2 linked regions of the Oreochromis niloticus genome follow. The protein of the gene in region 1 interacts with the protein of each later gene in a pairwise test. Links are inferred from orthologs where the notes say so. Each region holds a gene or a part of one and is shown on either strand. Other genes may lie near its edges.

Evidence for each region. The genes of interacting proteins can lie anywhere in the genome.
Region 2: the proteins of txn2 (region 1) and ppcdc interact in binary tests that used the Homo sapiens proteins (3 or more experiments, as listed by UniProt). The two-hybrid records come from large-scale screens. The link is inferred for Oreochromis niloticus from reciprocal best matches to the Homo sapiens genes TXN2 and PPCDC.

What each region holds. Positions count from the first base shown.
Region 1 is NC_031969.2:8,127,109-8,134,595, forward strand, and holds the start of txn2 (thioredoxin, mitochondrial), read left to right. Parts: upstream 1-4,475; 5' UTR 4,476-4,630; intron 4,631-7,239; coding exon 7,240-7,487.
Region 2 is NC_031972.2:51,780,196-51,787,317, forward strand, and holds the start of ppcdc (phosphopantothenoylcysteine decarboxylase), read left to right. Parts: upstream 1-4,116; 5' UTR 4,117-4,258; coding exon 4,259-4,384; intron 4,385-6,385; coding exon 6,386-6,481; intron 6,482-6,822; coding exon 6,823-6,951; intron 6,952-7,046; coding exon 7,047-7,122. Other genes in the region: hacd3 (very-long-chain (3R)-3-hydroxyacyl-CoA dehydratase), read right to left, coding at 1,401-1,507, 1,807-1,919, 2,016-2,143, 2,235-2,345, 2,448-2,493, 2,629-2,793, 2,941-3,014, 3,112-3,154 and 1 more. UniProt on the Homo sapiens protein: Catalyzes the decarboxylation of the cysteine moiety of 4-phosphopantothenoylcysteine to form 4'-phosphopantotheine and this reaction forms part of the biosynthesis of coenzyme A.

The sequences.
Region 1 (7,487 bases):
AAACTACCAACCAGCTAGCAGACGACCTATCTACTGAGGCTGGATAGCAGCTCCAAAACCTTCTATATACTCTTCAGTGTTCACATTGTCTTCACACAACAGCAAGTTACCCATGCCAACTGAATGCGCCCTCTCCTCTTTAGCCTGTGACTGATGGACCGCTCTCAGAACTAAGCCAGTCCATTTGGCTGAACTGAGTCCAGAGTAGGCAGCAGTGCTTCTGGATCTTGCTCATATACTGTATATTAGTTTTATTAATCTTGAGAACCCTGTTTCTTTTTTAAAAACTGTAACAGAAATAGGGTTCTCTTTGGGAAAAGTCAAAGAAATTTGAATTTTTATTTGCCGTCCCTTGGTAATTTGAGGCATTTCTCTGTTGCCACAGACGGATTTAGGATAACTGACAAAAAAAAGGAAAGAAAAAAAAAGGGACCAAGGGTACAGACTGTTCCAAAACAGGAGAAAAGGGAAAGAAAAACAAGCATAGAGCGAGGTTAGGAGAGTGCCAGTTAGCAAGGATGAGAAGGGGGCAAGGAATTTAAGTCCCAAAGTTATTTTTAAACTAAGGACAGGAACTCTACTGTTGACTCCCCAAACACAGAATCATAGATCAGTATAGGAGCAGAGCTGGGAAAAGAAGACAGGGAGCTTATATACACAAACACATAGACACACACACATACACACACGCTTCATGCATCTGTCAAGTGCGTCATCCCATATGTGCGTGTACATCCAGGCACATGCATCCTCTAAGCACAGGCCTGCCACCGTTTGGCATACTTTATGGTCTCGCAGCCACACTCACACCAGGATGTGTACGCGTCGTCCCGTAAACACGGCGCACAGCTCGGTTTAAAGATAGTTGCACGCTCAAACTTTTGGTGACAAATGAGAAAGCGTTCGTTTGAACTTCTTTTGGTGCCATGTCATTGCTGCATATGTGTATACAGCACATGTACCATGCATCTGATCTAACTGACCATAATTAAGAAATGGTGTATAGGCAGAGAATCCCAATTACAGGCCGGCGGCGAGAGCGTTTAAAGTTTGATGGCTCGTCAGCTGTAGAATATGTGACTGTTCACAGAGGATACGGTCTCACACTAACTGAGATAAACAGAAGGTCATCAAGTGGAATAATCTTTGTGGTGCAATCTGCTCAATAACAGGCTTTATACTGTGTGCTTTTCCAGGCTGTTATTATCAAGTAAAGACATTGGGATTTATGGGAAGCGAGCTGGGACAAAACTCACACACAAAGGCGGGAGGGGAGCGTTCTGTGTACGCAAAGGGCACACACCCTGCCATTCATGTGTGCTTTGTCAGGGGGCTGTTATGAAAGCCCGGCTCCATCGGCGGCTGTTGTATTCCCTCGACTGCTGGCTTGTGCAGATAGGAGAGGGAATAAACAGCCACGAGAGGAGGAGAATGGTCAGGTGCACCGTCACTGGGTCCACGGCACAGTCCACTGAAGGTCACAGGAATATCACTTCCCTCCTGACCTTTAGCCCACCGAGGTCAAACTTAGCACACACTCCTGGTTTTTCTGAAGTGGAGGAGGGTATCACAGGAAACTGGGTCTCTTTTACCTGTTTGTATCGTAATGATAGCACCCATCAACTACCTAAAGCAGGGGTCACGCCCTCCACTCTGGATCCTCGCACGTGCATCCTACCCCTCACCTCCAAGGTGTCACAGAAAGCAGCCTTGTTCTGGTCGTCTCCTCCTTTCTACCAGGACCCCCTCAAAAATCCCAGCAATCCCTGCAATTTCCGGTGCAATGTTTATTTGGCAGGAAGAGAGGGCTTGTGGGGTGGGTTGGGGGGGTGAAAAAAGAGCCTCACTCACAAACAGTCTGGGTTGGTTGAGAGTAAACATGTGCAGGCGGGGTGTGTGTGTGAAACGAGCGGTAAGCAGGACTGAGGCTCATGTGTTCTGGTCCTGACACACAGAGCAACGCTCTGTTTCATGCCCCAACCGCCTCAACCTGATCAACATCCCACCCCGGCTACTACGAACAGCACCCTCTGCTGGAGAAATGGACACATGACGTTAAAAGAAAACTTGAGATCAAACAAACTAAGAGCCTAAAATGTCTTTCTCTGAATAAGATATATAGGGAAAAAAAAATCCAGATCCATACATGAGCAGGGCCTCTAGTCCAGGGGTGTCAAGCATAAGGCCCTGGGGCCAGAATCGGCCCAGCAAACACTCTAACTGACAGCTTTGAAAAATAAATAGGAAGGCATCAATTTTTAACTTTTTTACTGTATATTCATTGCTTTTACAGTTTTTCCTACTGATAAAGACTTCCTCCGTGCCCATTTATTAGAAACCAAAGTAATGAAGTAAATGATAAGCAGTTAAAACACAGAAAAGTTCCTGTTTTTTATCACTATAAATGTCTACTTTTTACAATAAGTCCATAGAGGAAATAAAAAACACACCATAACTTCCTCTGCAGTTTTATACATTTATTTATCTATGATGATAGATTTCTTTTGTTTACTACAGCACTATTTCGTTATCATATAGAAAAACTGAGACAGTACTTTTGAAACTGCACTTTATGTTTTTCTAAATGTGTACTTCAACATCTTTACTGTGACAGAGAGGGCAGTTTCACATTTTCAGCCCACTTAAGATCAAAGTGGCTTCTTGTTGGTGAGTGCTACGCAGTGATGATGTCATCCATACACACTCCACAGAGGCCTACAGTTACTATAAATATCAGAATGACCCGTATATTAAATTTTACCCTTTGAGGTTTTAACATGAGACCGAGGATGATCTCAACAAACTTAAAATTTAAACAGATTTACATTCAGTTATACACTCAGAAAGCTCTGCAGGCTGGTAACAGGAACATTTATTATCAGCAGATACATTCACCCTGGGGAAAAATGTGTGTGTGGGAGACCATCAGGGCCAAGCTGGGTCTAGATTCCTGGGTGCAGTAGTTTGTAGAAAACTTCTCCCTTTCATCACATCTGTCCTGTTCCAGATGTTCTGTTGACTCACTGAGACATCATGTCAGAAACATCTGACATTGCATGATATATTTCTGCTTCTCTCCTCTCCTCTTTCTCCTCTTTTGCTGCATCTTTCCTTTGACCGCAGGCTCCTCTGATGTCTGAAGTGGGGTCACCAGTCTGGCCCACCAGACTGGTGACCCCACTGGTTGTTGTTGTTGCAGATGGACTGTCCTGATGTGCAGTTTGTCTTTGAGGGCATTCTAAAACTAGAGAAAACATTTATGTTTAAACCCCTGATCTGTGGAGATCTGAGTGCACTTCAGGCTCAATGGCATCCAGTTGTGTGGTGCTGGACTGAACCTCTGAGCACATCGCTGTTTGCACATGGTTTCCTGGCATATGTTTGACACCTGCAACTGGCTACCTGAAGCTTCAGGGATGTGTGCATTTGCAGGCAGCACGGCTCCAGAGCTGCAGAATAAAGAGTGGAGCAGTTTGTGCAGGGCTAGGCTGGCTAAGAGCCCAGGCGGTTGATGTTGCAAAACAGCGCTGGAGATCCGAGAGCTGAAGACAGCCCGGCTTTCCTGTCAGTGCTTTTGTTCAAACAGGCCCGTAGACAGATCAGTCTACATCCTTGATCTGTCTACATCCTTGATCAGATCAGGAAAACCCTCCACTGAAAGAAAAAAAGGTGTCCACCTGGAGGAAGTGTGGCTTTTGATGTGATAAAATGTGAAAAATAAAGGAAGGTGAAGCATGGACGTGTCCGCTATATAAAACTAAAGGAATGATGATGCTTCTCAGCAGAAATGGCTCACAGGAGCAAAGCTTCTCCACAAAGGTTTTAATCTAAAACTATATTTTCCTGCTCATTGTCTCATTGTGTGGATATTTTGGGAAGCCTTGGAGAGACTTAGAGTCAGGTCTGTGTAAATAAGCCACTGGAATCTGACTGTGTACTTAGCTTAGCAGAGTGATTAGAAACAAGGGAAACCATTTGCCCATGTCTGACAGACTTCATCCAACAACACCACCATGGTGCAGTGATTTGTACTGATGTCTCACAGCAAGATGGTCTTTTTTATATGGAGTCTGCATATTCGCCCCCGGCTTACATGGGTTCTCACTGGGTACTCTAGTTTCCTCCCACAGTCCAAAGACATGCATGGATGAGGCTGGTTGGCAACTCTTGAATGGTGGCAGGGGGTGAATGGTTATCTGCCTCTCTGTGTTAGCTCTGCAATAGTACAATAGTGGAAGAAGATTGCTGGACAACACACAGTAGGGTTAGATGGGGGTTATGCACTATCTGTCTTTGAGTTCCAGCAGCAGCATTTATTTTTAAGGTCAGTAATAGACTAGCCTTTTGTTTTCATTGTACCTGTATGAATATGTAAATACATACAATACTTATATAACCTACTATAAACTACAACTAAAACTAGCTGTCAGGTTAATATAGAGTAGATAAAAGTATGCTACGCTGATAATCCAACCCTGTGCTTCCAAACCTGGCCAGCCGGTGGCGCCACTCACTGATCTCTGTCGGCTGAAAAGCCGCACGTTCCCTTTTTTTTCTGCGGCACCAAAACGGAAGCACTTCATTGGTCCGCGAGGCCAAGATCAAGACCAGCGCCGACAGAAGAAGCGAGGTAAGCTGTGAAAATGCGGGCGCGTGTTTTAATGTGTGTGACATTTGAGAACGTGTTGTTCTCAAAGTGTCCGGTTTCGGTGTTCGCGTGCTGCTTAACGCGAGGAGGCAGCGGCGGGGGAAGGTTTAGGAGGAAGAGGAGGAGAAGTAGGAGGAGGAGGACGAAGAGGGCAAACTCATACGTAACGTAGATTAATGGAGCACGCGAGCTGCCGGTAGATAAGCGGCAAACACAAGATGTTAGGCCGAGAAAACGGCTCAGAGAGCTGCAGGGGAGTGGGCCGTTCTCAGTGGGGAAATTCTGAATACTTAAAGCTTTTTATCCATCGTGGGATTAAGAAAGTGTTTCTCAACAAGGCAACATGGCTGAGTGTGTTCTGCCAATAAACTCGTTTGTTCACGTCACTCGTTATATGACGCTCACGAGCCCTAATCACGTTAATTAGCGCTGATTCTTCATTAAACAGCTCGTGCTCGAGAGCTTAAACCGTGTGAGACTAGAAGTTTTTCACTGAGTGACTCAAAACAATGTTAGCTGTGAGTGTATTATAGAGGATACTCTAAGTGATTATTTTTCCCGCACACAGCACGTGACGGTTGCAGGTTTTTTCTGCAAAAAAGGAGAAAAGATGTCATAATCATCTAAACCTGAGGTAGGGAACCCCAGGCTTCAAGGGCCGCTGTCCTGCAGGTTTTAAATGTCCTTGATCCATCACAGCTGATTTAAATGGCTAAATTACCTCCTCAACATGCCTTGAAGTTCTCCGCAGGCCTGGTAATGAATTAATCGTTTGATTCATTTGTGTTGACCCAGGGTGAGATCTAAAATCTGCAGGGGCTCTCGAGGCCTGGAGTTCCCTACCCCTGATCTAAACCCAAGTGGACCTCAGCCCTTGTTCTTGGGCCAACAGCTGAGATCCTAATGATATTTAATTAAATAATACTGAATCTAAAATCCTCCAGAAAGTAGCATTACACACGCTCTATCTACTGACTTTTTTAAAATATAATTTTCCTTAAAAGCAGTCCAAATGATTATTCCTTGACCTTTTTTCTCCAACTTGCCTGACAGATGTGTCAGTTGTGTACGAATACAAATCAGTCCAGCATTTGTTGCCTCCTATCCCATCTATCCAGACAGCTCATTTGCTTAAACCACACAGACCATTTCCAGTAGTTCCAGTTTTGGAAATGGGCAATTTGCTGACATAAGAAAAGATTACCTGGTTTAGCCCGATATTATTTATTTTATTTTTTTTACTTATGTGTTAAAAGCAAACCTATTGTGCTTTTTCTGAATTTGTTGGTGAATGCTTATATTCAACATGGCCAAAGTTTCAAATAAAAAGGTCAGTGCATATACAGGTAGTCCCCTGGGAGCCAAAACCTGAGTTCAAACAGCACTGATGACAATATGATGTCAAACAAAGCAGATCATATCACCATTCTCATGTAGAGGGGTGTGTGTGTGTGTGTGTGTGTGTGTGTGTGTGTGTGTGTGTGTGTGTGTGTGTGTGTGTGTGTGTGTGGTGGGGGGGGGGGTTAATGCAACATTGTATTGTGATATTTTGCGTGGCATTATTGCATTGATACAGGAACAGCAAATATTGATAAATGAATTAATAAATTAAAATACTATGAACAAGAAGGCTCACGTCATGAGATGATGAGCCGAGCAAACTCACATTAAATCAGCCCAGCTGATAAACTGTCAAACGCTGGTTACACTTAGCTTTACAAAGATGCCTCCTAATTCAGAGCAAGCTAATGACTCAGTCACACACGCAAAACTAGGACAGCGACCTCCTTACATCTACACCGGTGGCTTTCTGGTGATTGTACTGAATTTTTTCATGTTCTGCAACCTGGTCGTGATTAAATGGTTACCACACAACCACTTTTGATCACAAGGTGATTGCGCAGGTCACCTGATGGGAAGTAACCTTTCTGCAAACAGTTGCAGTCTGATTTGGACTGAGTGCAGTCACTTTGAGAGAGTTGAAGGTTTGGAGATAACTGTTGTCTAATATATAAATACAGATGGACTGCCAACATGTTGCAATCAGTCTGAATGAGTCTTTGTCAGCCAGCAGGGTACACCCTGGACATGTCGCCAGTCTGTCGCAGGCCTAACAAATAGACACAGACAACCATTCACGCATAAATATGATTTAGTTATTTTTTTATTACACTTTATATTTGTTTACCAGATAAACTGGGACTTTATCGACAGTTAAACACTTTATCGACAGTTTATACCAAGTGCAGCATAAGAAAAAAAGGGATCTTAAGCCTATAAAATGGATTATTTAGAATAGTAACTTATGCGAAACTACTTTTGTACAAGTCAAGAATGAAAATATGGAGCTGGAAATAAATATTGTGGGTGTCACCATGTAATTAATTTATCACTAACTATAGTCCTGGAAACTGGTGCCAGTTTGTAAAGCTCAGGCAGGGTTTAAGAGTGGATACGGGATGGGACCTATAGCGTTTTTGGATAGATTTCTTAGTATTTTTTTAAATCTTATAATCTGAAGTGTCTGAAATGCAATATTAATATTATAATAAGTAACACTTATCTTCTGTATCTTTGCCTGTTGTGCAAAGATGGCTCACAGGCTGCTGCTACGAAGACTCTGGACACTGTCTGTGAACGATATCCGCTGCCTCCCCAGGTCCACTGCCTCCGTCGCTTCCTCTTGTTATTCCACATCCCTTCAGTCCACTACAACCCGGGTGTCCTTTCTCTCCCCGTCACGAAGTCTGCCTCGCGCCCTGCCTCACACCTCCCGCCGAGAAGTCTCCTTCAATGTGCAGGACAGCGAGGACTTTACAGAGAGGGTCATCAACAGCGA
Region 2 (7,122 bases), on another chromosome or scaffold:
GCATTTGCCCGGTGGGCAGATGGTGATTTTTCATTTTTATGTTTGTTTGTTTTTGTAACGGTATAAACAATTAAAGGTGGTGGATTAGCTAATTGGTCATGATCAACTCTGGGCTGGACCAATTACAATACATCCGTATTGAGAGGAAAAAGAACGCGATTAGTCCCGTACTTCAGCTAGAATGAAAAAAAAGACAAAGCTGGAGTTATTCTGTCTTTACGTTGCACAGCTGCCTCTTCTCCCCTCATTCTCTCTCTCTCCCTCCCTCTCCTGTTGCTACTTCAATCATGAAACCGATCAATGATTAGCTGATCGTCTTTCTTGTTTGTTTATCTCCCACTTTGCGCCAGAAAGAGGAAACCAGCGGATGTCGCGCTAAACAACAGCAGCACGTTCAAGCTTGATAAGCTGTTAGAATTTATTTAAAATTAATTTCTAGTATCAGCTGATGTTTGCTGGAGCCAGAGCTGTAAAAACTGCTGCTCATGGTATCGGTTTGGAAACATGAAGGTGATACAAATCATGCATATATACCAACGAGACAGTGTACATCACTGTCACAACAGCGTTTGTTTTAGTTCAAAGGCCTTATGGTTTTTCCTATAATACCTGGTGGTGTAGTCGGTGATTTTTTGTCAGTTGAGCTTTATATATTATGTTTAACCCGAGTGACCACCCGGTCAGCTGGTGGGTAACTATGGCGTTATTTTTGTGCCACTATTCTGAGCGCACGTAAAAAAAAAAGTTGAGCCCGTCCCATCTCGATCAAGGACAACGATGTGACCGTTTCAGGAGATGATAAAATATTTCTTAACACCCCGATAGCTTGCTGAAGAACTCGAGTTTCTTCTCCCCCCTCCATGCTGTCAGACACTTGAAAGTGACCCGCACGTGCTTCTCGGCCAATCACAGCGGTACAGACACCCAGCCTTCCGTTTCCATTAAACTCCTTCCGTTTCCACTATACTCTTTCATTCACATACATTATTCTCTTGCATACATATATTTTCTTCTGACATGTATGCATTCTCTGCTTACTTACATATATTATTTGTGAGATTAAATGCATACTGAATGCATGTAAATGAGAGCAAAATGTAGGAATGCATAAATGAAAATGCATGTATGTTAGAGTGAAAATTTGTAAATATGTACATTAAAATACATGTATAAGAGAGCACAATATTGCAATGTGTGTGTTAAATATGTGTAAACATGAGAATAAAAATATCTAAATATAAAAATTAAAATAAAACTATATGAGAGTGAAAGTATGTGTATGTGAAAGAAGAATGTATGTATGTGAGAGTGAAAATATATGTATGTGAAAGAAGAATGTATGTGTGTGAGAGGGAAAGAATGAATTTTGGCTTGTACGGCCCCTCTTAAAAAAAGCCTACCTTCTGCTAAAACACCTAGTGGATACAGTGGCATCCAGACAGTATACCGCAGCCAAGTGAGGGTTTTCCACTCTGTATTGAAACAGCCCAGCATGTAAAAGGGATACCTGAAAAAGGATGAGCGCATGTTGGTTAAGGAAAAAAAAAAGTCATGCTCCAAATAAAATGACACAAAGTTGCATCTACAGTTACACATTCTTATAAAATTATAGCTCAGATGCGACTGCAACTTCCCTGTTTCAAGGCTGAAATGTGAATAAAATCTAACAAAATCTAACTGTTCCAAACATTTGCAAAGCTCTAAATCTTATCCAATTTTAGTTTTATTTAAATACAACTGGCTAAAGCTGTACTATATATCACTAGATGACTGTTTACTGTAAGCAATAGGAAAATGCATACTTGCCTAAAAATTTCAATAGCACTCCACAGATAGAAAACAAAGAACACAACTGGCTTGTGGTGCATTTCCTCCAGACTACCAAAAATGATGAAGAGGATAAAATTCCTTCCGACCATCTAGTGCACAAAAAAAAAAAATGTGTATTGGTGCTCAATCTGTAACTTTAGAAAACTTGAGTTCGGGCAAAAAAAAAACAAAAAAACATCCCATACCTGTATAAGAGTTGGTATAACACCTGTCTTGACTACACCAAAAGCAGCATTCAGGACTTCTACTGATGCCAGGATCTGGCAGAAGAACATCACATCCGAAATTGTGTGAAATGTGTCATAGAGGGAATCTGAAAGGAGTTTTAGAACGGACATGTTTTAACCAGTTTTCTGGGAAGTAAGTGACACTTGCAGCTTCTCCTGTGTAATATATTTTCACACCTCTGCCAATGATAAACAGACGCACTGTCATGTTGACAAAGATCCATGAGAAACCAAGAAACTGGACCAGGTTGTACACAATCAAGAACACAGTTTTCAGGCTGACGAACCCTGAAACATTTCAAAGAAATTGGAAAATAGTATCAGCAGTTTTCCCTTCAAAGCCATCTGATAAAACAGAATGTTCAAGTCCAATATATTATCTGCACCCACCTTCTTCTTTTTGTCTTGAAGCCTTCAGCCTGTTCCTTTTCTCCTCCTTTTAGAAGTATTTAAAAATGAAAATAGTAGAGTCTTTAATCAATTATTTTAGTCATACTGACATTTTTTAATCTTTATCTGTGAGTGTCATTTAGTAACAACTGCCACTCTTACTCTTTTACATTACTCTTACCTTTTCTCTGATTTCCATCTCAGCGTCTGACTCGTCCAGCCAGCGATCAAAGTCCGGTGCCAGGAAGACAGGTTTACGCTCCTGGACAGTCAGCTTTTCCCACCAACCTCGCTGTATTTTGTGCACTGTAATGTTCACCTGCCGCTGTGTGGACTTGTAGCTGACCTACAGGGTCACGCAATGAGCACAAACAGGAAAACCACAGAAAGGAAAGGCAAAGATTTAAGAGCAATCTTGCTTTAAGAGCAAGTTATTCTGTCTATAGATATATTTCTGATCCCTCAAGATGAATTATTGAATTACTGAGCATACCTGTGGCTTTACTGGTAAGAGGAACTCCAAGCTGAACTTGTACTCATTTTGTCCTTTTGCACCATGCCCCTGGGCTACAAACAGGATATCACAAATGAAATTCCACAAAAATATTTTTAAAAATATGTCTTTAAACACCAAATGCAAATGAAATCCGTGAATCCATGTCACCTGAAAAGTGAAGGACATTTTCATCCACGTGGACGTCAATATTCTGCAAAAACACAGGCAAAGGATAAGCATACTTCCTCGCTAGATCAAGAATTTTTTTACTTCCTGTTAAGAGAAACCCGAAACAAAGATATTAATCTTATGTTACAATATTACCGTAACAAACTATATTCCAAAACACATAGTACAGGTAAAATAAGTGCTTAAAAAGTCTCTAACCTGAATCTTCTGTTACATGATCAGAAATAGAGTTAAGTGCTATAAAAAGAAGAAAAAAACGAGTGCTGAGAGGCCCTCCTGTAGCATGTAGTATGGGATGGTGTGATATCTATAAATGTAACAACACCTGTCCCTCACACATAACCCCGAGCAATGCTACCACCCCCACCCACCCCGCCTTCCGAGTAGTTCCAGCAGATATTTTTAGGACTTTGCACCCATGTGATTAACTGTAAACACGAATATTCTTAAAACCAACAGGTTTTAAAAACAGGTTCGAACGGGCCTCAACAGAGAGCTTTGTATGGATCAGTTATCAGATAAGGGATCTCATTTCTCATACAGTATGCAAATAGTACAGCTATCCAGCAGGATAACATTTACAGGAACCTTTCGTCTGTATTTGCATTGCTTCTCATTTACCACCAGAGGCCCAAAAACAATGTTAAAAAGAAAAAAAGTCAGAACCATACTAAAGCGTTTTGCCCGTGACAAGTAACTGCAAGATGTACTCTCACCTGAGCATCTGTGAGCTCAACTCGCAGGTAAATTTCTTCATGGCGTTGAGCCCAATAAACAAGAGGTGTGAGTGCCATTATTGCGTTTTTGATCAGTTTTTTTTTTTTTTTTTTTTTTTTTAATCGGGCGTTGCTTCAAATAAATATCAGTGAGGCAAACAACGAATGAAGGCTCCACGCTTCATGCTAGCTCCCCTGGAAAGACTTGAGCAATTACCCAGAATATTCTTCGAACGTGCTCGCTCTCCACCGATCAGTGCGGAGACGCGCTCGTGCAGGAAGCACAAACGTTAGACGTGCAATTCCCTGATTGGCTAAATGAATATTTACGGAAGTGTCACGGGAACGCGGCGCGGCAGCTTGTCTAATTTTTCTTTTGGCAGTATGCTGACAGGCAGTAAGACGACCACATGTCAAGTTTAAAAACTGATTTGTTGAAAACTTCCGGGACATTTAATGTCCTTGTTGGAGTGACAGGAAGCGTTGCAGCCTTGAAACTGCCTCTTTTGGTCTCCCAGCTTCTTGAGCTCTCCAGGGTGAGCTGCTTCATATTAATTAATGTTTGCATATCATGAATGTTTCTTTTTTTCCCCCGTACATAGTTAGCAAATAATAGCACAAGCACCTATATACATTTATTGTTTATCTAAGTGGCATAATACGCATAAGCTCACCTTTACCGCAAGATGGGGATGTTAGGCAGCATCGCTACAAACGCAGTATGTTCGAGTTATTATAGCTCTTTTATCCAGCCGCAGAAAAAAAGTCTTAGACTTAAAAACCTGAACCAAATCTGAACCAGCAATATCTGCATGTTAATTAAAAACCACAGCGGTCCTCCATGAAAATAGAGAAAACGTAAATGTTAAACGGGGGGATAATATATGACAGTGTTGGTATTAGTGTGGGAATGGTTTTGCAATACACTAAATAAAGTGTGTTAGGACTTTTGTAGTAAACAGGGTGATGAAGCTATGCGTTTGCATAGCAATGCAAATAATTTTAAATTGTTTGTGTAATAGCGAATACGTGTAGAGAGATATATTTGGTCTGACTGTCAAACTAAGAATAATTGCTTCATTTGAGTTTAACATGGGAGAATATGCATGGATGCACACTCCATGGAGCAGAGAGACGTAATGCCCCAATCAGTCAACTTAATTTTCAACCAAATTATGTGGGATCACGCATGTCACTGGCAGCAGTATTGTCTTGTAAACTTCAATTAAAGTTCTTTTTTTTAAAAATTAAACAGTCAGTTGTAGAAGAATCTTCTCTGTAACAAGTAGTATGACGTATTTATTTACTTGAGAAAGAATGAACACTTCACCTGCTCAAGCCCTGCTAATTATAAAACAAATGATGAATTAATTTGAGCATACTAGTGGTAAAGGCAATCAAATGCCTACAGTTGTTTAAAAATACTCTAAAATAATGTAAAAACTTAGAGTAAACAGAAATTCATACCAATGTAGACTTTATCTGCACTCACTGGCTACTTTGTTAGGTACACCAATTAAGCTGCTTTTTAATGCAAATATCTATTTAGCCAATCCCATGGCAGCAGCTCAAGCATTTAGGCATGTAGACATGGTCAAGATGACCTGCTTAACTTCATCTGAACATCCGAATGGCGATGAAAGGTGATTTAAGTGATTTTGAACGTGGCATGTTTGTGGGCCGCAAACAGGTTGTTCTGAGTATTTCAGGAACTGCTGATCTGCTGGTATTTTCTCACTCAGTCATCTCTAGGGTTTACAGAGAACAGCCTGAAAAAGAGAAAATGTCCAGTAAATGCCAGCTTTCTGGGTGAAAATGCCTTTGTGACGTCCACGGTTAGTGGAGAGTAATTCACAATCCCCATGTTACAACCATGGTGCTAGAGGAGTATCTCTGAATGCACAACTCATCGAACCTTAGCAAAACCCCACCCTGTGCCACACCTGTCAGCTAGAAATTGAAAAATGAGGCTACAGTTCATACAGACTCACCAAAATTGGACAGCAGAAGTTTGGAAAAATGTTCAAATGGTAGGGTGGGAAATTGGCATAAAGATCATAAAGCATGGATCCATCCTGCCATGTATCAATTGTTCAGGCTGAAGGTGGTGTTATGTGTGGGGGATATTGTCTTGGCACACTTCGGGCCTCTTAGTACATTTAAATCATCATTTAAATATTACAGCCTACCTGACAATTTTTGCTGAATATGTCTATCATTCATGACCACAGAGTACTCATCTTCTGATGGCTGCTTCCAGCAGGATAACATGCCGTAAAGCTCAACTCATGTTAAACTGGTTTGTGAACATGACAGTGAATCCATTGTACACAACTGGCTTCCAGGCATCCACAGTCATCGGATCTCAATCTAAATGGGATGTGGTGGAACAGGAAATTCATACTACTGATGTGTCTCTCCCTCCCTTTTCCCCTTCTCTATCTATCCATCTATCCATCCATCTATCCATCCATCCATCCCATAGAGTTTTTCAACTGTTCTGCACAAGTAAAATGTTGCTGTCATTTATGCTGTAGGTGGATGTACGAGTAGTCACTACAGAGCATGCCAAGCACTTCTATAATCCTGCTGAGGTCTCAGTCAAAATCTACAGTGACAAGGATGAATGGGAGGTAATAACTAACTTGAGTATGATGTTCTAATGTAGCCATTATTACACTGAAAACATATATAGCTATATATATAGAAAAGACAAATTAACATGACATATATAATCAATATGAAGGTCAGCTTGGGCTCTTGAAATGAAATAGATGAAGGAATACCATACAGTGCCATACTGAGTGAAATGAAATGTGGTATGAGTTGCCCATTATTAACTTGAAAACACTGGAGTTACTTGTGAGAATTCTGAGACATAAAAACACTGGTTTAACTTATTATGCATTCCAGACAGAAGTGAAGATGTGACTGTGTAACTGGATGCATTTCAAACAGCATGTCTCTCATTTAGCTGTGGAAACAGAGATCTGACCCCGTGCTACACATTGAGCTAAGGCGCTGGGCAGACCTACTTGTCATTGCCCCTCTTGATGCCAACACTCTTGGAAAGATTGCTAGTGGTATTTGTGATAATCTGCTGGTAAGAAGATGAAATACTAAAGATTTTGCAAATAATCATTTATTGCAGAATTTCTGTGAAATGATTTCTGATTTTATGAGCATTTGTCCTTTCAGACGTGTGTGGTAAGAGCCTGGGATACCAGTCGACCTCTACTCTTCTGCCCTGCAATGAACACAGCTATGTGGCTGC